Oryctolagus cuniculus: one gene and its partner. The protein of the gene in region 1 purifies or fractionates together with the protein of each later gene. This does not show direct contact. Links are inferred from orthologs where the notes say so. Each region holds a gene or a part of one and is shown in the gene's direction. Other genes may lie near its edges.

Region 1 (11,421 bases):
AAGAAAATCCGTCTCTTTGCGACCCCACTGGAAACTCAAATCCACTTCTTGTTTGCCTGGACAATTCATTAACATTTCCAAGCCTCATATTTTTTCTATAAAATGGGGATTTTATCTTACACAGTTGGTGAAGCTAAATGAGAATGGTATCGGATCATAACCACTAGTCCACAAATGTTGGGAATGTATTCCTCCCCTTGGAAAAGGATCTTAAGGCAAAGCTGCTTAGAGTCTGCTCTATAGATTGGGCTCCCATGCCCCCAGTAAACTACTTCTTAGCCTTCCTTGATAATAGGCATTGTTTTCTTTTCTTTTTTTTAATTTTTATTTATTTATTTTTTTTTTGACAGGCAGAGTGGACAGTGAGAGAGAGAGACAGAGAGAAAGGTCTTCCTTTGCCATTGGATCACCCTCCAATGGCCGCCGCAGCCAGCACGCTGCGGCCGGCGCACCGCACTGATCCGATGGCAGGAGCCAGGTACTTATCCTGGTCTCCCATGGGATGCAGGGCCCAAGCACTTGGGCCATCCTCCACTGCACTCCCTGGCCACAGCAGAGAGCTGTACTGGAAGAGGGGCAACCAGGACAGATTCCGGCGCCCCTACCGGGACTAGAATCCGGTGTGCCGGCGCTGCAAGGTGGAGGATTAGCCTAGTGAGCCGCGGCACCGGCTCACTAGAGGTGATGGGCCCTTTCCCAACATACACACAAGACATATGCACTTGTTTCAAAGTACCTATGAGCCGGCGCCATGGCTCAGTAGGCTAATCCTCCACCTTGCAGCGCCGGCACAGCGGGCTTTAGTCCCGGTCGGGGCACCGGATTCTGTCCTGGTTGCCCCTCTCCCAGGCCAGCTCTCTGCTGTGGCCCGGGAAGGCAGTGGAGGATGGCCCAAGTGCTTGGGCCCCGCACCCCATGGGAGACCAGGAGAAGCACCTGGCTCCTGCCTTCGGATCAGTGCGGTGCGCCGGTCGCAGCACGCCACCTGTGGCGGCCATTGGAGGGTGATGGACCACCATCGCCCACTCTCTGACCTCAGATTAAGAAACCTGCTCTAGTAACTCATTTGGCTTCACCAAATCCTCTTATAAAACAAGATATTTTGCTATATTGCAGTTGAATGAAGGAAAACTGCAGGTCCTTATTTTTTATAGCTGTGGAAACAATATAGTGACAGAACACAAACTCATAATAGACAACTGAATAAGTTGCACAAAAACCGAATTAAAGTGTTGGTCGGATTTGCCATCCTACAACTTTTTAAATATACAAGTAAATGTTTGCCATGGAATCTAAAGGGACAGAGGAAAAATGGAGTGGCAGCAAAACTACTTAACTTAATTTACATAATTGTGACCATACCACTTTCCCATATAATACAATGAATATTAGGACACTGGGCAATGGAGCAAGAAACAGAATGTTCTAGAAAATAAACTTTCAAAATTGGTAAGCATCATGCACTTTTTCCAAGAGACATTTTATTGTGTTGAATCAAAGGTGGCTCTTTGGCACTGAGCAGCTCCACAGAGTCATCCAAGTCCTCATTGCCTAATCCTGAGCTTGGCTGCACACTGCTGGCGATCATCAACTTGTTTGGATTTCAGATTACATTAGATCTCTTCATATAGCTGCCACCACCAGACAGTTGAGCTGGCTGTGTCGGGCCTTCCTGTTGGTAATTTTGTTTTTAACCTTGTGCTTCAGTTTAGTTTACAGAAGTCCTTGCAGAGGGATAAAACCTCCTGAGAATTGTCTAGATGATCCTACACCTGCAAGAGAATACCACTGGGAGAGAGACCAAGTTCACATTCTGACCCCATGGTTGCTCTGTGAATCTTTAGCAACTCACCTTCCCCATGCTTCTTTTGTAAACTGGCAGTAACCTTCCTTTCCAGATAGATTTGAAGCCTCTGATGCTGTTCACAGATACAATACATACAGAAGCATTTACTAACTATTAAGTTCTGTGTGACTGCCCACTCATTTCAGTATTTCCTAGCGGCCACCTAAAAGAACTTCTATAGGATTCATCATACATGGACCGCTGAGATTTGTATTTGTCATCATTCAAACTTTATTTTCAATTTGTTTAATTCAAAAGTGACGCTGGGGCCGGCGCGGTAGTGCAGTGGGTTAATGCCCTAGCCTGAAGCGCCAGCATCCCATATGGGCGCTGGTTCACATCCCGGCTGCTCCACTTCTGATCCAGCTCTCTGTTGTGGCCTTGGAAAGCACTGGAAGATGGCCCAAGTCCTTGGGACCCTGCACCCCCGTGGGAAACCTGGAAGAAGCTCCTGGCTCCTGGCTTCAGATCAGCGCAGCTTAGGCCTTTGTGGCCAACTGGGGAGTGAACGATTGGATGGAAGACATCTCTCTCTCTCTCTCTCTCCCCGCCCCCCATCTCTCCTCTCTCTGTATAACTCTGACTTTCAAATAAAATAAATAAATCTTTAAAAAAAGTGATGCTGTCTCTGGTTCTTTTATTTTTTAATTGTCTTCTCTTTCTAATTTTCTTCTTGTTCTTAATGTCATCTTTGTTCTCCCTAGCAGAAAAGACAAGCTCAAAGTTCATATTAAGCTTAGCTCTCCCCCATCTCCAAGTAACTATGTCCTGTGAATTCTTCCCTTATATTTTTTCCTGGAGTTCCTTATCTTATTTTATCATGACCACTTTTCCAGCCTTGACCCAACCATGTCAAACTTGAATGACAGCAGCAGTTTCCCTGCCTTCAGTCTCTGCCTCCTTACTGCCAGCCTATGTGCTATTGTCAAATTCATCTTGATAAATTACTACACTAACTAGCTACACATCTCTGTTCCAGAGTCTTTAATAGACCACCACTGCATGTAAAATAATATCTAATCTGTCCCCAACCTGTCTTTTCAGCCTTGACCACTATGGTCCGCTTTGCCGGTGACACCCACTGTCCTCACCCTTCTTGGCTCCTGGGACTTTGCTAACTGTATTTCCAAGGCCCACATTTCTTTCTTCTCCAGAGCCCACATCCCAGCACCCTGTGAAGTATTTTTGATGCCTCACAGCTCACAGTGATCTAGTTTCCTGATTTAATTCTAGTTGTGTTTGGAACATCACTAATCAATTTTAAACTAACTGTTCTTTAACATTGCATGTGTCATTGTCTCCAAAGGCAATTCAGTTATGGCAACTTATTTATGTTTTATGGAATGTTTCATATCCTCATCTATGTTGCTGGATTTTACTTTAAGGCAAGGAATCTAACCATAATGATTTGATTTTTCCCAGAGTAGTAGTTTTCAAATTTTGCATGGTAAAGAAACAACTGGAGAACACATTAAAAGCTATGTCCACATTAACAGGCAGAAAGAAATATAAATGACATTTCAAGGACAGAAGTACATCTGATTCTTTTTTTTTCTTGTAATTTTCTTGGTGCCAATTTCAAGGTTCAAGTTGCTAGTACAGCAACAATTCATAGATTTGTCATCTTGGTTCAGAACAAAGAAATCACTTTCTTAGTTTTCCTAATTATTCTTTGCCTCTTCCAAGCCCAGAGAGGGTAATGAGGGGGGAGTGAGGCCCAGATAAGCTGTGTTTCCAATTTGTTCCAAGTGGCACTGATGTTGTGGTCAATTTAAGCATCCGTATTAGTTCCTTTTTGTTGCTGTAATGAAATAAATGAAGCAAGGTCCTTTATAAAGAAAGAGATTGATTCAGCTTACAGCTTTGGAGACTGAAAGCTCAGAGAGCATGATGCTGGCTCTGGCGAGGGTCTCCCCTCGCTGAGGCGCAATCATGGCAAATGGCATGGTGAAAGTAGTGGGTTTGAGACAGGAAGACAGAGTGGAGAGAGGCCGATCGTGCTCCTTTATAACAAACAAGGTTCCCATGTGACTTATACTAATCTCTGCCCAGGGCAGAGGCTCCAATGACCTAGAATTATCTCACTGGACCCGCCTTTTAAAGATCCCATGACTTCCCACATCACCACAGTGGGTACCAAGTTTCCAGCACATGGACCTTTATGGGATACACCCACACTTACCCAAATCGTGGCAGCATCTCACACAGGGATGGCACGGGAATATCACTGTTCACTTTTGGATACTGGGTAGTGAGTGTTTCTCTCTCACTCTCTCTTTGTTCTTTCTCTTCTTCTTCCATCCCATGCTCACATTCTGTCACTTTTTTTTCTTTTAGATCGACTTTGAAGATGTGATTGCAGAACCAGAAGGGACACACAGTTTCGACGGCATCTGGAAGGCCAGCTTCACCACCTTCACTGTGACGAAATACTGGTTTTACCGCCTACTGTCTACCATCTTTGGCATCCCAATGGCACTCATCTGGGGCATTTACTTTGCCATTCTCTCTTTCCTGCACATCTGGGCAGTTGTGCCTTGCATTAAGAGTTTCCTGATTGAGATTCAGTGCATCAGCCGAGTCTATTCCATCTACGTCCACACCTTCTGTGATCCACTCTTTGAAGCTATTGGCAAAATATTCAGCAATGTCCGCATCAGTATGCAGAAAGAAATATAAATGACATTTCAAGGGTAGAAAGTCCTGATTCTTGTTTTTCTTTTTAATTTTCTTGGTGCCAATTCCAAGTCTCAAGTTGCTAATACAGCAACAATTTATGAATGATGTATCTTGGTTCAGAACAAAGAAATCACTTTCTCAGTTTTCATAGCTATTATTTTCTCTTCTGAGCTATTTCATCTATTTTTGGCAGTCTGAATGTTTTAAAGCCATTCCAATGTTTTTCCTTACATTTTGATTTGGATGAGGATCACTGTTTTGTTGGCTGGGATATGAACATATTATTGACAGATAACTTGAGAGAGATATGAAGAACTAAGGAAAGAAAAGAAAAAGAACACACAACTTTACTGCCTACTCCAAAATGTTGATTATTTTATAGAAAGGGGAGAATTCCAGGCTATGGCCATTGAGTGTACAGGTATGTGGGCAGATTTTAAGCAGATCCTGCAGCCCCAACTGTCTGAGGAATTAGTGAATCACTGTGGGTCACTTTAGTGATTCACTGGGGTCTAGTGATCCTTACTGAGTTAGAAAATATAATCCTCTGCATTCACATTATGTGACCAATACCTTACACTTCTCGAAATTTTAAACTATTATACTTCCTGTGCCTGAATATTTGTTAAATAGATAACAAGACCTAAGTGCCTTCCTCTTTTTTCTCATTGTCCTTTTCAAATAGAACCTAATTCTTCACTTTCATTAGTTCTGCAGCCTCTGAAAACCAAAATTAGAGAATCCATTCTCTAGTTCTCTGTGCCTGTGTGTACTGACAGACATGGCATAGCATAGATCTGCACTTGATCATGCAGCATCTTTATCCATATTGAGTATGGGAGCCCTAGAAAGCAAATTACAGTGGACAAATGGGGCTGAGTCCTCTCTGGGCTGGCAGGGGTGGAAGCCAGCGTTCCCTGCCTCTCATCAGCTGAATGTGGTCAGCATGTCTATTCAGCTCCGTTTATTTTCAAGAATAATGACGCTTTCCTGAATCCACACTAATCCATCACCGCGGTGGTTTAGTGGCTCAACATTGTGTTCCCTTTTCAGCTGATCAGTGGGCCTCTAGGGATGGGATGTCAAAATGGAGGCCATTGTGTAAGACTGTCAGCGGTGTTGTCAATGTGACCCTTCTAAGTAAAGCACTTGCAACCATCTGTTAGCCTGGGACACTAGTCCCTCCCTCTCCTAGGAGCTTTGGCCCTCATCCAAATGCCACTTTGCTCAGAAAGAAGATGAGGAGAGGAGGCAGTAGCAAAAGATTGAGCTAATTTGCTGGAATCAGTTCAAATTCTTCTGAATTCAAGCTGAGGAATTTCACCTGTAAACCTGAGTCATGCAGAAAGCTGCCTGGTACATCCATAAGCTTTTCATTTCTCCTGTTCATATTGTTATCCTGCCCTTGGGGACTTTTTTAAACCTCCAGTTATGCTTTCACTTGTATTTTCATACACTTATTAGAACTTTGCTTGATTTTTTTTGCCTCTTCCAATCTTCCTGAACTTTTAATTGCCGACCTGTTATCTCCGATATTTTGCATTTAAAACAGACACTGGCATGGACATAGTTTTACTTTTAAATTGTGTACATAACTGAAAATGTACTATACTTTTTACGTGTAAAGATATTTTTATCTTTATATGATGAACATCACTTGGGAAATGGCTTTGTGATTCAATCTGTAAACTGTGTATCCCAAGACATGTCTGTTCTACATAGATGCTCAGTCCCCTGTGCAAATCAACTGCTGGTCCAAAAAACTGCTAAGATTTTATATGCTTAATGATATATTTTACACTTTTTTATCCTGCATGTCCTATAAAGGTTACAAATTCTGCACAATAAACAATTAAAACTGTCAACTTCCATTATTTCCTCCTACATGGGCATTTACGTGTCAGTGTTTGTGTCTGTGTATTTGTATGTGGTGAGCATGTGCATATTGTGTGTGTACATGTATGTAGTGTGCAGGGGAGTGTAAAGATTTCTCACTTTTAAATCTTGACAGAGTTATTTAAGTGGGATCTTTCTGCTAAGATTAACCCCATTCATGGATTACTCCAAATAAAAATTATCATTAATGATAAATGTTATATGCTATCTCATCCAATGTGAGCCCCTAATAACTTTGTGGGATGGACGTTAATGTCATCATTTGACAAATGACACAATTTGTATTCAGGGGGTTGGGCAAAGCCTTGAACTTTACCATGATGGAACTGAAATTTCTTAAGAGGTAATTATTTTTTTCTTGGCTAAGTTCACATTCAGGGTTTCTGTGTCAGGGTTCACCAAAGAAACGGAACCGACAGCAGACATAGAGAAATGACAGATGATAGGTGATAGAGAGATTGAGATGACAGACATAGAGATCAAGATGATAGAGACAGAGATAAAGATGGAGATAAGAGATGATAAAGGTTAAGACAGAGAGCAAGAGATTCATTATAAGGAATTGGCCCACACAATGATGGAAGCTGACAAGTTCCAGGATTTGCAGTAGGAGCCAGCAAGCTGAAGCTGCAGCAAAGTTGATCTTGTTGCTCCATTCCAAAGGACAGCAAAATCAAGACCCTGGAAGAGCTGATATAGCACTTTGAGTCCAATGGTAGGAGAAAATCGATTTCCCAGTGTGAAAACAGTCAAGCAGAAGGAATTCTCTCTCACTGGGAGGATGGTCAGCCTTTATTTCTCTTCTGTGGATTGGATGAAGCCCACTGGATGAAGCCCATGTTAGGAAGGTCAATTTGATTTACTCTTTCTACCAATTTAAGTGTTAATCTCATCCACACACACCCTCAAAACCATAAACAGAATGATGTAGGACCAAACACCTGGAAATCCCATGGTTCAGGTAAGCTGACAAAATGAACCCTCGCAGCTTCCAAACCAAATTTCATGAAGGGTATCTTCTAAGCCTCCCACCCTGAAGTTCTCCGAGGCAGTTAACAGTGTTCCTCTCTTGCTGGGCTTTCAAGAAAGCATGGAGGCTGCTTAGTTGGTAACCCAGTCTGGATTTGTGTTTACCCAACAAATCCACTGCTATTATACACATGGAGACATGGCTTTGATCAAGGCAGCATTTGACATCCTGGCTGAAGTTAGGTCTCCAGTTCAGGCAGAATGAGTGACATGACTTTAAACAAGGATTATCTTTCCTTTGGTTTTATGATTTGAATCTAAACAAGTACATATTAACAAGATCAGACCTATTCCCATTTTGTTTGAGTTACATACATGAAATAGTTCCATCCCCACAGATAATCACATGGCTTCAGACCACTCTTAATCTGCATTGGGAGTAAATAGCTTCATACATCACACATTTAGTAAATGTTAGTTACATAATAATACACATCAGTCCAGTGAAGCAAGGCTGTCTAAACAGTTGACTCATACCTTCCCTGATGTGGGTGCTGATATTCAAACGTTCTGCTTTTTAAATTGGAATTCTTGTTTATGAAAGTGAGAGGAGAGGAGAATTTAAAAAAATAAGGTACCTTAACATAATACAAAAGGGTAAAACCATAAAAAAAATCATGGCTATGAATACATAAAAATCATATCCTTTTTTATTTTTTATTTATTTTTTGACAGGCAGAGTTAGACAGTGAGAGAGAGAGAGATAGAGAGAAAGGTCTTCCTTTTTCCATTGGTTCACCCCCAAAGTGGCTGCTATGGCTGGCGTGCTGCGGCCAGCACGCTGTGCCTTTCCGAAGCCAGGAGCCAGGTGCTTCCTCCTGGTCTCCCATGTGGGTGCAGGGCCCAAGGACCTGGGCCATCCTCCACTGCACTCTTGGTCCACAGCAGAGAGCTGGACTGGAAGAGGAGCAACCAGGACAGAATCCGGCGCCCCAACCGGGACTAGAACCCGGAGTGCCGGCGATGCAGGCGGAGGATTAGCCTAGTGAGCCACGGCGCTGGCCGATCATATTCTTCTATATATAAAAACTAGTAGAAACAAAATAAATGATAGAATGATAAAAGGAAGCATATTACATATGTAATATATAGTATACATTACATATATTTATATGTATATATATCACATGCTTAGTACTGTACTTTAAAAGATGTACAGAGATATAAAGAAAAAGATGAGCATGCCAATTGAAAAGTATGCAAATAAATGAAAAGGTAATTTACACAAAGAAGTGTATAATCATATGAAAAATGTCCATTCATCAAAAATGGCATGCAAATAATCAAAATTGTGAGATACGATTTTCACCTAAGTTTGCAGAGTTGAAAAATGAAAGTCAAGTGCACATTGCTGAGGACACTGGAAAGAAAGCACACACATTCATTGCTTCTGTGAGGGTGAGTACGAGAAGCCTTTTGGGGGACAATTCAATGTACGTAAGATAGAATCCACCGTGCCATTTACTAAAAAATGTAACAAAGCATACCTTGGGTCATCAATCAGAGATGTTCATTATTTGTTTGTCAGTAGTATCATAAATTGGAAACAACAAAAATGTTCAAAAACAAGGAATCAGATATGTTATTTGTACACTTTGATATTTTATCCAGTGGGATAGTTAATGAAGTGGAAATATGTCCATGACATGATATTAACTTAAATGGTAGAGTTAAACAATTGTCTGAAGTGTATGTAGCTGACTTTTGCTTGCTTAAAAATTAAAGGAAGTAGATTCAAATAGATGCACCATTTCTGAGTTCCTGCTACATCACAAACATTATTGTTCTTACACAAGATTTCAAGGTAAGTATTGATGTTTTCATTGTACAAATAAGGTTTAGAGAATTTTAGTGAGTCATCCATTCACATAACTTCTAAGTATTAGAGCTATCATCACATCCCAGAGTGTCTTGCACCAAAGCCTTGCTCCTCACTCTCTATCTTCCAGCTCTGGGCAGTGTCTGTGCCCTGAGCCTTCCTCTTCATGAAGCTTTCCATTTCCACTGGCTTCTCACTGGCTCGCAGAATCATTTTCCATGTGTAGTAAGTGAGTAATGTGAGCATAGCTGAAGCAAACGTTAGCAATAGTTTCATGCACCAATATGTGTGTGCAGACTTGGCACACAGAGATTTTTTTAAAGATTTTATTTATCTATTTATTTGAAAGGTAGAATTACAGACAGAGAGAGGGAGAGACAGAGAAAGGTCTTCTATCTGCTAGTTCACTCCCCAATTGGCACAATGGCTAGAGCTGGAGCGATCCAAAGCCAAGAGCCAGGAGCTTCTTCAGGGTCTCCCATGTTGAGACAGGGACCCAAGCATTTGGGCCATCTTCCGCTGCTTTTCCAGGCCATGAGCAGAGAGATGGATCTGAAGAGGAGTAGCCAGGATATGAACCAGCACCCATATGGGACACCGGCACCACAGGCAGAGGCTCAGCCTGCTATGCTGCAGACTGGATCCCAAGTCTGTGTCCTTTAAACATTAGTTCACTCAATCTTCCCAGTAACTCTGGATGGTGTACATATTTTCACCATCTCAGCTTTACAGATTAGGCACAGAGGAGTCAAGTATCTTGCCCAGAGTCACACAACCAACAATTGACAAAGCCAGAGTTATGAACTCATGAAGTCTAGCTCTAAATCTGGGAGCCAAACATGTTACTAAGCCATAAGGTTAGTGGTAATGCTGGAAAACAGAAGCAAGCTTTATCTCTACTGAGAACAAGCAATGGTCAACAATAAGGATGTCATTAAAATGCAAATTGAATCATTTACATCTAAGATATAAAAGTAAAACTGCTTTCACAAATTTATCAAAATATTTGACAGAAGGGTTTGAATGTAAGTTTTCCTAACAAAAAAAGAAACAAAAAAAAAAAACAAAAAAGAGTTTACTAGGGCAGGCATTGTGGCAGAGCAGTTAAGCTATCTGGGAAGCCCATAATCAATAACAGGGTGCTGGGGTTCAAGTCCTGGCTCTGCTTCTGATCCAACCTCCTGCTGTTGTGCACCATGGGAGGCAGCAGTAACAACCCAGAACTTGAATCCCTACCTTCCACATGGTAGAGCCAGATAGAGTTCCTGGCTGCTAGATTCAGCCTGGTCCAGCCCTGGTTGTTGCTGGCATTTGGGAATTAAACCAGCAAAAGCAAAATTCTCTCTCTCTGTCTTTCTCTAAGTGTGTTTGTGTGTGTGTGTCTTTGTCACTCTGTTTTTAAATACATAAAAATAAAAGTTACTTTAAAAATGTTTTCTTACAGTCTATTTTATGCCATATTATAGTTTAGTAACTTTCAAGATCCTAAAATGAATAGGTGATAAACTGACACACTCCAGGACAGACTTCAATTGAAAGTAATAATCATATTTTTTGAAATAAATCATAACATAAATATTATTAAACAAAAATTACTCTCTGGAACCATTCTACTATTAAGATTCAAAACTATGGCTTTTTACCTTCCTTTCATATACTTGGCTTTTATAATCATTCTCTAATCTTCCAACTGCTTGAACAATAATGAATTTCTTTAGTTTTTCATGACCCAACTCCCTGAGGACATCAGTACAAAATCTCCTCCTCCCACAAAGCGCAAGAATCTGCTTAGATTTGCTGCCCTATTCTCTTTCCCTTCTGCTAAACACAAGTCTGCTGATCCAAAGCCATTCCCTCCATCTGTTACGAATGCCTTCCCTTCTTAGCTTCCCAAGGTACTTGCTCCCTTGGTTATCTCCTATAATTCTTTAATCACCAGTCCATGCTGGTGTTCTGGATTGTTATCATTATCCTACAAATGCCATGGATCTCTTTTTCATTAAAAAAAATATCCTCCCTTGGCATCAGATCCTCTTCCAACCATCAACTATTTTCTTTATTTTACAGCCAAACTTCACAAAAGAATTATCTACTCTGTGTGTGTGTGTGTGTGTGTGTGTGTGAGAGAGAGAGAGAGAGAGAGAGAGAGAGA
Region 2 (11,991 bases), on another chromosome or scaffold:
CCAGTCCAGCTCCCTGGGGTGACAGTGGAGGATGACCCAAGTACGTAGGTCCTTGCCACCCATATGGGAGATCTGGATGGAGTTCCAGGATCCCAGCTTCCACTTAGACGAGCCCCAGTGTTTGTGGCTGTTTGGGGAGTGAACCAGAGGATGGCAGATTTCTTTCTCTCTGTCTCAGTCTTCCCCTCTCTCTCCATCACTCTGACTTTCAAATCAGTCCATCAATAAAAACATTTTTAAATAAAAATAAAAGATAGACTGGGCTAAATCATGATGATACAGCCACAGCCCACCTGTTTGTTGGCAGAGGGAAGGGAAGGGAAGGGGAGGGAAGGGAACGGAAGGGAGGGAAGGGGAAGAGAGAAGGGGAGAGGGGAGGAGGGGAGAGGAGGGAAGGGGAAACCATTATTTTCCCCATGAGCCATCCCAAACTTGCTGGTCCCTGTATATTTAGGTCACTTCATTCTCTATAGCCTCTAAAATGCACTGAGCCCATTAATGAATTTATTCCAGGATTATATCTAGGCAGGGGGAGATGGAACAGGGGAGAGAAAAGGCCAAGCTCCAGATGTGAGCCTTGATTTGTGAATGGCCCCGCAAATTAATCCTTCTAAAACAGGAAATCCTGGCAGCAGGCCTGAGCACTCTCTCAGGATCTGGGTCAATTTAAGCGTCCTCTCCCTCTCCTGCAGCCTTCAACCTTCTCGCTGCTCTTCCTCCTTGCACACAGTCAATCATCCCCTCAGCCCTCACACACACACACGCACTCATTCACTCATGTACACACTCGCTCATTCATACACACACACGTACATGTTCATATACACACTCATACATGCACTCACACACACATGTTGTGCGCATTTGCTTTGCTTTACCTTTGCAGCTTCCATCAAACAAGAAAGGAAAATCATTTCCAGGGTTTCCTTCCCAGAGTGTTGGATGGCTGGGCAGTGAGAGGGGGAAGGGCAAGGAGAACACCTGCTCCTCTCATTAAAGGGCTCCCAGGGCAGATCTAGGAGGTGAAGACATCTGGGAGAGGGGCTAGGTGACAGCTCCTCGCCTTCCGCTGAGCAACACGCTGCCACCAATCGCTGGGCAGCGTACTCCTACTGCTTACTAAGAGAGTATGTCAAAAAGTTTGTGGGAAAATGCAGTTAAAAGATATTTATTTGGGAGCAAAAATTTGAAAACCACACATAGTGTTTTCAGTATATGCATTTTCCATGAGTCTTTTGTAATAGAACTGTAACTTTGGGCTAATCAGCAATAAGCCCCAGATGGTAAGGAACCTATACTAATCAAGTTCTCCCTCTCTCTTACTGTCTCTGTCTCTTTCCCTTTTTTTTTAAGCCAAAGAAGTTTTGGCTGATTTTGACCAAAGAAGTTGAGGACTCCTCTTTCCACTCCTGACACTGCCATGTTTGCTTAGAAAGATGAGGCCCAATGGGACTGCTGTTGAGACACAGTGTGTGATTCCAGCACCCCATATCTGAATGCAAGGTTCCAGTACTGGATGCTCTGTTACAAAAAAAAAAAATCCATGCATAGTTTTTCACAATATGCATTTTTCATGAACTTTTTAACATGCCCTTATATGCATGTATTTCAGTATATTTTGCACCAACATAAACTAAATTTTTTAAAGATATATTTGTTTCTTTGAAAGTCAGAGTTAGAGAGAGGGCAGGCAGAAGACAGACACACACACACACACACACACACACACACACATATATAGAGAGGGAGAGACAGAGAGAGACAGAGAGGAGAGAGAAAGGTCCTCCATCCTCTGGTTCACTCCACAAATGGCCACAACGGTTGGAGCTGGGACAATTGGAAGCCAGGATCCAGGAGCTTCTACCCAGTATCCCATGTTGATGGTAGGGGCCCAAGCTCGTGGGCCATCTTCCACCCACTGCTTTCTCAGACACATTAGCAGGGAGTTGGATTGGAGGTGGAACAGCTAGGACTCAAACCGGAGCCCATATGGGACGCTGGCGGTGCAGACAGTAGCTTAACCAGTTGGGCCATAGCGCCGGCCCCATAAACTAAGTTATTAATTCCATTTTCTATGAAGTTATTGACCTAATCTTGGACCTCCAAGAGGTTAAGAAATAAGTTTGTCTTTTTTTTTTTCTTTGACAGAGTTAGTGAGAGAGAGAGAGAGAGAGATCGTCCTTCCATTGGTTCACCCCCAAAATGGTCGCCACCGCCGGAGCTGTGCCAATCCGAAGCCAGGAGCCAGGTGCTTCCTTCTGGTCTCCCATGTGAGTGCAGGGGCCCAAGCACTTGGACCATCTTCCACTGCCTTCCCTGGCCACAGAAGAGAGCTGAATTGGAAGAGGAGCAACCGGAACTAGAACCCGGTGCCCATATGGGATGCTGGTGCTGCAGGTGGAGGATTAACCAAGTGAGCCATGGTGCCCGCCCCGTAAGTTTGTCTTGATCATCAATATGTTCCCAGCACCTGGGGCAGTGTCATGCAGAGTACATACACAATAAGTATTTTTTTTTTTTTAATTTTTTTTTTTTTATTTTTTTTATTTTTTGACAGGCAGAGTGGACAGTGAGAGAGAGAGAGACAGAGAGAAAGGTCTTCCTTTTGCCGTTGGTTCACCCTCCAATGGCCGCCGCGGCCGGCGCGCTGCGGCCGGCGCACCGCGCTGATCCGATGGCAGGAGCCAGGAGCCAAGTGCTTTTCCTGGTCTCCCATGGGGTGCAGGACCCAAGCACCTGGGCCATCCTCCACTGCACTCCTGGGCCACAGCAGAGAGCTGGCCTGGAAGAGGGGCAACCGGGACAGAATCCGGCGCCCCGACCGGGACTAGAACCCGGTGTGCCGGCGCCGCAAGGCGGAGGATTAGCCTAGTGAGCCGCGGCGCCGGCCCACAATAAGTATTTTTGACATGGATTAATAAAATTAGTATTTAGGATTGTTTCTCTTCCTCCTGCTTGTCTCCCTTCACCTTCTCCTCCTTCCTTATAATGACTGACTTCCAGCAACTCCTTAGCACTTTCTTTTCCCTCGGGTTCTGCACACTTGACGGGTTCCCCTGGGATCTGCCCAGGAGCAGTCCTGCAAGTTGAGAGAAGTCCTCCCACATGTTCTGCTGCATGTGTCTCATTCTGCGGGACAGGTTCAGGGGCTACAAACCATTCTCTTTTTTTTAAAGGTTTATTTATTTATTTGAAAGACAGATTTATAGAGAGGCAGAGGCAGAGAGAGAGAGAGATCTTCCATCTACTGGTTCACTCCCCAGATGGCCACAATGTCCAATCCAAAGCCATGAGCCAGGAGCTTCTTCCAGGTTTCCCACACGGGTGCAGGGTCCAAGCACTTGGGCCATCTTCTACTGCTTTCCCAGACCATAGCAGAGAGCTAGATCAGAAGTGGAGCAGCCGGGACTCAAACCAGCACCCATATGGGATGCCAGCACTGAAGGCGGTGGCTTTACCCACTGTGCCACAGCGCCGCCCCCGAACCATTCTTTAGAAGATGTCGTTTGGGGTTTGTCTGAGTTGAAGTTGCTACTCACAGTGTGATCTGTAGACAGGGGCATCAGCAGTACCTGCGAACTTATTTGAAATGCGACTAAACCTCAGCCAGCTCAGAGTCTGTCTTTTAGGTCCTCAGGTCTTGCTGCTGTTTAAGCACTGCTAGGACTAGATGGGTAGACAGCAAGGCAGGTTTCAGGTATGTGGCGTGTCCTCTGAGAAGGCACAGAGGAGGAGGTCAGAGGCAGGAAGTTCATATGCAAGAAACACAGAGAGAGAAAAGGGGTGAGAAGCAGAATTCAATAGAGGAAGCATTCAGACCGGGATGCTGGTGTGGCACTCATGGAAAGGAAGAGGGAGGAATGAAGGCTGGACAGGGAGCTCCCCAGGCTACAAGGCAGATCTCACCAAGTTTTGGCCAACCCAAGCCAGAGCCAGGAGCGTTCATTAGCAGAGCTCCATGGTGGACAGCAAATGGCCAGGTCTTGTAGCTCAGCTGCATTCAGTCATGGGCAAAAGCCTGCCTGGGAGGAGGGTGGCCCCTGCACAAAAGCTGAGGCAGGGTCACAAGTCATCAACTGCAGAGACTCTCGGTTAACAATACTCTTGCCGGCGCCGTGGCTCACTAGGCTAATCCTCCGCCTTGCAGCGCCAGCACACCGGGTTCTAGTCCCGGTCGGGGCGCCGGATTCTGTCCCGGTTGCCCCTCTTCCAGGCCAGCCCTCTGCTGTGGCCCAGGAGTGCAGTGGAGGATGGCCCAAGTGCTTGGGCCCTGCACCCCATGGGAGACCAGGAGAAGCACCTGGCTCCTGCCATTGGATCAGCGCGGTGCGCCAGCCGCGGCGGCCATTGGAGGGTGAACCAACGGCGAAGGAAGACCTTTCTCTCTCTTTCTCTCTGTCTCTCTCTCTCACTGTCCACTCTGCCTGTCAAAAAAAAAAAAAAAAAAAAAAAAAACAACCACTCTTGCAGCTAGGAAACAAGGGCGCTCTCAGCAGTCTGTTTCTGTGGCTACCACATGTGACATATGCAGCCAATTTTGCAAGATACCTATGTGGGTTGGCGAATGCATGGAAAGCACATTTAACAAAATGCCACATTAAAGGAGGCCTGACTTTCGTGCTTTGCTAGGACTGCTGTGTTGTATTCTTGTTCTCCAGGGAGCAATCCCCCTGAGGGTCCCTGGGAGACAAGCTCCAGAGAGTTCCTTCTCCTAAGGAGACCAAGGAGAGCCCCTGTGCTCACAGGAGTCAGTCAACAAGATGCAGTGGTCGCAGGTCTCTGACCCCACCCTCCACAAGCTCAGTAGCTCCAGGCCCAATCCTGTTGGGCCAGAGAACAGGGGCCAGTGGAGAGGAAGCAGGGATGACAGAGGACGGGGAGATGAGGGTATGCACCCTGTGACCCAGGGATGCCTGCACCTACCGGCTTTCACCTTCATGCCCCTTCTAAGTCCATGCACATTTGCAAAGACAGCCGAGCCCACGCACAAAACATGTGCATGAGAACACGTACATGTGACAAATTCACCTCCACCCTCAGATACACACCCCAAAAAAGCCAAGTGCACAGATCCTTCTCCAACCTTCACACCAACTTGTACGGCCAACCCCCCTCCTCTACTTCTGCCATCCCAGCAAACTCCCAAATCACCCTTTGGGTGCCGATTTAATTCACAGACAAGCAATGCACATAAATAAACCCCACATAATCTATGGGAACAAAAGCAGACAATGCAATCAGACATTCAGAAACACAGGGGCTTTGGCGTAATTGAAAAACCAAGAAACATCTGGAGGCTGTGTCTGGAATTTCCAGACATGCTTTGAAAAACATTTCCTTTGGCTATCCATGCCACCCAAACCCTGCAGAGGCAGGAGATAGCCTGGTCCCCTCACGGAGAGTGACTTCTAGGGTAGCCATCTCAGCCACCCTGCTGCTCTGGGAGTACAGCTAGGGAACACTTGTGTCTGCAAAGGTGGTTAGCAATTCTATGGAGCAGTGGCCAGTAGGGAGCTTGCTCATTTACAAAGGGGGCCAATAACATTCCTCACCTACTAGGTTGCCATAGGAACACGGGCGTCAGTAGCTAGCACTGGGAATGAGCCAGCACTATACGGAGAGCAGTCAGGATGTGTTGTTAGGATTCTCCTCTTGGGAATTCTCCAGCCCCAGGGATTCCACAGCCTCTCCTGGCTCCCACTCCTAAAGCACTCGTGCCTTTGCAGACCCCAGTCCCAGCTTCCACACACTTGCTGGCTCCCAGATTCAGCAGGCAGCATCAGCCTGCCCTGGGATTTTAAAAACCCTTCTTTCCTCTTCCCCATTGTGGTTTTGGCAAAAGGGATTTGGTGGAGAGAGCCCAGCGGCTGCGCATCCACAGGATTAGGAGACCAGGAAGCTTATCTCCTGGGCTGCTGCCCAGCTGGGGATGCCCACCTGTGGATGCCCAACTGGGGATGCGGCTGCTGTGGCTGACCGCGGCTGCCAGGACTGGGGCCAGGGTTTCTCCCAGGCGAGGGCAGGGGGCATCGCAGGGTTGCAGCCCTGTACCTTTTCATGGGTTTGTAGGAAGCTGAGGAGCGATGTGGTTCTTTATCTCTTGTCTGTAATTCCTCCCAAAGAGAAGCTATTGGGTGTCTGTCAAAGGAAAGCCGTGGAAAGGTTTTGTTGTCCCGCCTTTCACCCAAAGGCAGTTCCTTTCCCTGGGGTCCACTTGGCTTTCAACCGGTTCCCGGGTGACCTGAAATCCTGAGTTGTCCCCATCTGGTTGCCCTGGGAGACTCCTAGCTCTCTCGGTACAACCTGTTCCTCCCCCCGCCTCTCCCTCCACTGGGCTGCGCCCTCCTGGCCCCCCTCCCTTCCCTTCCCTCGCCTGGGGCCCAGCTGCGCCCTCCGGGGAGAAACCCGCTGCCACGGTACCCGCGGGTGGGAGGGAAGCGGGAGGAGCCGGCGGGCGCAGGAGGGGTGGCCAGGCGCAGAGGGCGGAGGCCGAGCGCCGCGCAGCCAGAGAGGGGCGACTGGAGGTTGCATCTGCAGGAGGAGGCTTCTCAGCTGCTTGGTTACCCAGACAGCGAGATCGGCAGGGAGCAGGACAGCGTCTCCCTGACGTCAGGATCCAGCAAGGGGACCGCGCCAGCAACCCTAGTGCCCCCCGGAGCCCCGCCGGCCGACCGCGGGATAGGGGCCGGACGCGAGGCGCCGGCGGAGCTGGCGCTGGGGGCGCGGGAGCCGGTCGGCTGGGGCGCAGCATGCCCCGTGCCCTCGGGCTATGGAGATCGCCCTGGGGCCCCTGGAGAACGGCGGTGCCATGACCATCCGAGGAGGAGGTGAGGAAACGGCAGGATGCAGCCAAGCAGCGCCGACGGCTGGGCTCGGCGATGGCTCCCAAGAACCGGCGCCGAGAGGGCGCGGCTGCAGCGCGCGGCGGGGCGCAGAGCCGGGGGAGCGGCCTCTGCCGCCGCAGCCCCCGGAGCTGCCACAGTCTAGACGGTCGCCGCTGGAGGAAGAGGAGGGAGAAGGCGACCCCGGCCTGAGCGTGGCGGAGGAGCAGACGCTGGGCGCGGGGGCCCTTCACCACCAGCGCGTCCTCATCAACATCTCCGGGCTGCGCTTTGAGACGCAGCTGGGCACCCTGGCGCAGTTTCCCAACACGCTTCTGGGGGACCCCGCCAAGCGCCTGCGCTACTTCGACCCGCTGAGGAACGAGTACTTCTTCGACCGCAACCGGCCAAGCTTCGACGGCATCCTGTACTACTACCAGTCCGGGGGCCGCCTGCGCCGGCCGGTCAACGTCTCCTTGGACGTGTTTGCGGACGAGATCCGCTTCTACCAGCTAGGGGACGAGGCCATGGAGCGCTTCCGGGAGGACGAGGGCTTCATCAAAGATGAGGAGAAGCCCTTGCCCCGCAACGAGTTCCAGCGCCAGGTGTGGCTCATCTTCGAGTACCCGGAGAGCTCCGGGTCAGCGCGCGCCATCGCCATCGTCTCGGTGTTGGTCATCCTCATCTCCATCATCACCTTCTGCTTGGAGACCCTGCCCGAGTTCAAGGACGAACGCGAGCTGCTCCGCCACCCCCCGGTGCCCCACCAGCCTCCGGCGGCTCCTGCCCTGGGAGCTAATGGCAGCGGGGCCGTGGCACCTGCCTCTGGCTCCACGGTGGCTCCGCTCCTGCCCAGGACCCTGGCCGACCCCTTCTTCATCGTGGAGACCACGTGCGTGATCTGGTTCACATTCGAGCTGCTTGTGCGTTTCTTTGCCTGCCCCAGCAAGGCCGAGTTCTCTCGCAACATCATGAACATCATCGACATCGTGGCCATCTTCCCCTACTTCATCACCCTGGGCACCGAGCTGGCAGAGCAGCAGCCCGGGGGCGGAGGAGGCGGGCAGAACGGCCAGCAGGCCATGTCGCTGGCCATCCTCAGAGTGATCCGCCTGGTGCGTGTGTTCCGCATCTTCAAGCTCTCCCGCCACTCCAAGGGGCTGCAGATCCTGGGCAAGACCCTGCAGGCCTCCATGAGGGAGCTGGGGCTGCTCATCTTCTTCCTCTTCATCGGAGTCATCCTCTTCTCCAGCGCCGTCTACTTCGCAGAGGCTGACAACCAGGGGACCCACTTCTCCAGCATCCCCGATGCCTTCTGGTGGGCGGTGGTCACCATGACCACGGTGGGCTACGGGGACATGAGGCCCATCACAGTGGGGGGCAAGATCGTGGGCTCCCTGTGCGCCATCGCCGGGGTCCTCACCATCGCCCTGCCCGTGCCCGTCATCGTCTCCAACTTCAACTACTTCTACCACCGGGAGACGGACCACGAGGAGCAGGCAGCCCTGAAGGAAGAGCCAGGCAGCCAGAGCCGGGGCACCTCCCTGGATGCAGGAGGCCAGCGCAAGGCCAGCTGGAGCAAGGCTTCCCTCTGCAAAGCTGGGGGGTCCCTGGAGACTGCAGACAGTGTCCGCAGGGGCAGCTGCCTCCTAGAGAAATACAACCTCAAGGCCAAGAGCAATGTGGATCTGCGGAGGTCCCTGTATGCCCTCTGCCTGGACACCAGCCGGGAAACCGACTTGTGAAGGGAGACTGGTGGTGGTGGTGGTGGTGGTGGTGGTGGGGTCAGCATAGTCCCTGAACTTGGGCATCCACTTCCTACCACAGAGTATTGCAAGTCCACCCTGTCACCGGTGCCTGTCCCTCTTCTGTCACTCCTTCCCCTCCTTTCCTCCCCCACTCAGTTCCCCCATTTTTCCTCTTCTTTCCATGACACCAAGGGTCACCTATTTTTAAAAAGTACCACATTCCATGACGCAGGAGCTGCTGAAATGGTGAATGCTGTCAGATGGATGTATTTGTAGCCACTTTCCTATACCCAGCAGAGGGATAACCCAAACAGAAATGACTTTAAATAGCCCAGATCCCAAGAGATTTTGTAACCCTCCCTACCCATGGGTTCAAGTTTGCTTTATATACGATTATATTTGTGTATAGGGGGAAACATTATTTTTGTGGCCAGTGAGTGGATTTTTGTACTGCGGTTCAGATGGGGATATTTTGATTCTATTTCCAAGATACACATTGTATTTGTAGGGGAGAGAGAGAGCGTTACGGTGATGTTTTCTGTGAATTCATGTCAGAGCCAGAGTCCAGTACCTCTGTTCTTTGTTTTTTTTGGGTTTTTCAGGCTGCTCTATTCTCAGATGTGTTTTCGGTGCTTTGTGTCTAAGACAGGGAACATTCTGGAAGAAAGGCAAGTCTGACATTTTTATGCGCCTTAAACAGTTCTCGTAACTTTTTCAAAAAGCATATCACGGATGTTGGAGGAAGACTTCTGATCCTTCACTCTCTTTATTTTTATCCCAGGAAATAAAATGTTGCTTGGTTGGGGCAAGTGTTAGTTTTCCTACAGCCGAAGCAGTTTTGGAAATTTTGCAAAGTAGTCTGTCCCTTGCTGTGTGTGGTGTTGGAGTGTCAGCAAATGAAGCCTTGAAACCTGTGCTTTGCTTAGTGACATGTTGTGATGGGCCTCGTCTCTGTCTCCCAGGCGATGATGGGTACAGTCTGCTTGTCTCGGGCTGCTTGTCACAGGGACACCCCTGCAGCATGTGGTCTGAAGAGGTGGCAGTAGACCCATGCTCAGTGTGGAGTGCGAAGGGTGCTTGGAGCCCCACAGTCCCACTGTGATCTGCTGTGCTGGGTTTCCGAAGTCTGCAGATTTCAAGCTGTGCTTGGTACTGCTCTGCAGCTCTGAGCGACAGTCCTGATTCTCACACATGAAACCTATTCACTAGATTCCCTCCTCGGTGTGAAAAGTCAGAGAAAAGGGTTCTTGGTCTGGGCAGGGTCTGCAGGGTGGACAGCAGCCCTGAGAAGTGCAATGGAAAGGTTTGCTTTTTCACATTCAAGTTTGGCTCCTATTCTGTGCGTCCTTGCCCCGACTCATCCCTACCCCTAGGAAGAATCCTTTTGCTTTCCTTTGCCCTGGATGGTTGAGGCACAGCATCACTGTGTGTAGGTACAACACTGGCTCAGATTTCTCTCCGGATGGGGATTAACGAATCAGCCTTGGGGCTCCACATTCCTGCTGTTGCTTTTTGCAATGAACAATCCAAAGACTGGTTGTTTTCCCATGTTCACCAGAGCAGGCTGGCGGTCTCTACTCACACCTTCCCTTGGAATGACAGTGAGCTCACTGGCTCATTCCAAGTGGGGAGTGCAGGTCTCCCTATGAGTAGGGAGGAGCTAGTGAAAAGGCATCCCTGAACTGTGGATTCCATCGAGGCATGGACGCCAATACTACAAGACGGTGTCTGTGAATGCAGCCAGGATCTGTTAGCAGCACATCTGAGGGGGAAGCAGATCGTGCAGTAGGGCCATTGTTTTTCATTACATGCTAAGGCAAAGGCAAAACAGAGAGGCTCTGCTTATTTATAATTTGCAGTCTGCCTAAAAGCAGGGCATCGTGCCAAAGCTCAACTGCGCCCGCTCTCACTCCCGAGCCCTCTATGCCTGCAAAGCTGGTTTTTGTAGCTTAGCACACAGCTAGGGGTTTGGGACTGGGTATCAACCCCTGCAAACCCAAAGCAATGTCACCACCTTTGGCCTGAAGGCCCCATTCCTTTGGACTTAAGCAATAAAGACAGAGCAACCCCCAGATTTCAGACATCTCTAGGTGCCAAACAGGGTGTTGCTGGCCAGATTAAAATGGAGTGCATGATTAAAATGTGCAGGACATGGGTGCCATCTTAGGCAAATCCTCAGGGAGAGAGAGAAGCAAATGAGATGGTGAGGCTCCCTGTTTTGCATGCGGAGAGGATACTGAAGAGCAGTTTACAAAAGGGTCATGGTGGTGCCACAGGGAATCCTGGAGTCAGGTGCCCTGCTGCGGCTCTCATCCTGGAAGTCACTGATCTCATATTTACCCTGGGGCACGGGGAGGGACACCCACTGGCCAGCTGGACTTGTGGTGCACCTGTTGCTATACTTCTAGAAAAAGAGTCCAGTGTTTCTCTCCAGGCGCCAGGCACAGGCTTTCTGCAGGAGCAACAGGAAAGGGATCTGAATGTCAAGGCTCTTCCCGGGGTACCTGAGGTAAGGAGCCCCCTCCTCCTCCGCCCTCTCTGCTCGGCTGTCATTGGTTTTACACAGCCTTTGCCTTCCTGCACACAGATAAAATCAAGTGACCTCTGCCAAGCTCTTTCTCCAGATGTTGCTCCCTGGCTCCCGGCAGGAAACCACTTCTGGGTTTGTAATCTACCTGCTTTGGGAAAGAAGTCGCAGAAGGCAAGGTTGCTCCTGGATGTCCTGTCCTCGTGTGAGGACAACAAAGCACCCCCCCCTTTTCACTGCTTATTTTTTTTTTCTTTTCCTGCTGGTATGCTTGCTGAACCCTAAGCAATTACAGTTTCAGGAAAACAAAATCAGTTCACTAACTTTAAAAGCCCCAGTGCTGGGAACTCTCCCCAGAGGGGAGAGCAAAACACAGTGCTGGCTCTTGAGGAATTTTTCCAGACAGTTGGGGTTTGCATCATTCTAGCGAGATTGATAGAGGCACTCCCAGGCTCGGGGCAGATGGAGCCAGCAGTTCCTTTGGGTGCGGGGACGCTTGGTCCGAGGCCCCTCCAGCAAGGACAGACTTGTGGCCGATGGAGTTCGGCTCTGGTTGATGGCCAAGGGCACCTGTCTGCTGGCCCCCTAGCACTCTCCTCTGTGTGATGAAGGACAGTGGAAAAACACTTGCCTTCACAGAGCTGCAGTCGCACTGGGGAATCAGTCAGGGTGCAACAGGCAAGCCACACCAGATAACCTGATAATTTGTAGAAAGTGGGATAAAAAATGAACTTAGGGGTGTGTGTTTAGCCTAGCAGTTAAGATGGTAATTGAAAAAAAAAAAAAAGATGCTCCCATTCTGCATCAGAGTACCTAGGTTCAAGCCCCAGCTCTGGCTCCTGAGTCCAGCTTCCTGCTAATGCAGATCCCGGGAGGCAATGGTGGTGGCTCAAGA

Evidence for each region.
Region 2: the proteins of CAV1 (region 1) and KCNA5 purify together in Homo sapiens (affinity purification with western blotting, with the first as the bait; 3 studies listed by BioGRID). This does not show direct contact. The link is inferred for Oryctolagus cuniculus from reciprocal best matches to the Homo sapiens genes CAV1 and KCNA5.

What each region holds. Positions count from the first base shown.
Region 1 is NC_091434.1:152,013,779-152,025,199, forward strand, and holds the end of CAV1 (caveolin-1), read left to right. Parts: intron 1-4,183; coding exon 4,184-4,525; 3' UTR 4,526-6,380; downstream 6,381-11,421. UniProt on the Homo sapiens protein: May act as a scaffolding protein within caveolar membranes. Forms a stable heterooligomeric complex with CAV2 that targets to lipid rafts and drives caveolae formation. Mediates the recruitment of CAVIN proteins (CAVIN1/2/3/4) to the caveolae.
Region 2 is NC_091440.1:104,408,063-104,420,053, reverse strand, and holds KCNA5 (potassium voltage-gated channel subfamily A member 5), read left to right. Parts: upstream 1-6,751; 5' UTR 6,752-6,769; coding exon 6,770-8,566; 3' UTR 8,567-8,619; downstream 8,620-11,991. UniProt on the Homo sapiens protein: Voltage-gated potassium channel that mediates transmembrane potassium transport in excitable membranes. Forms tetrameric potassium-selective channels through which potassium ions pass in accordance with their electrochemical gradient.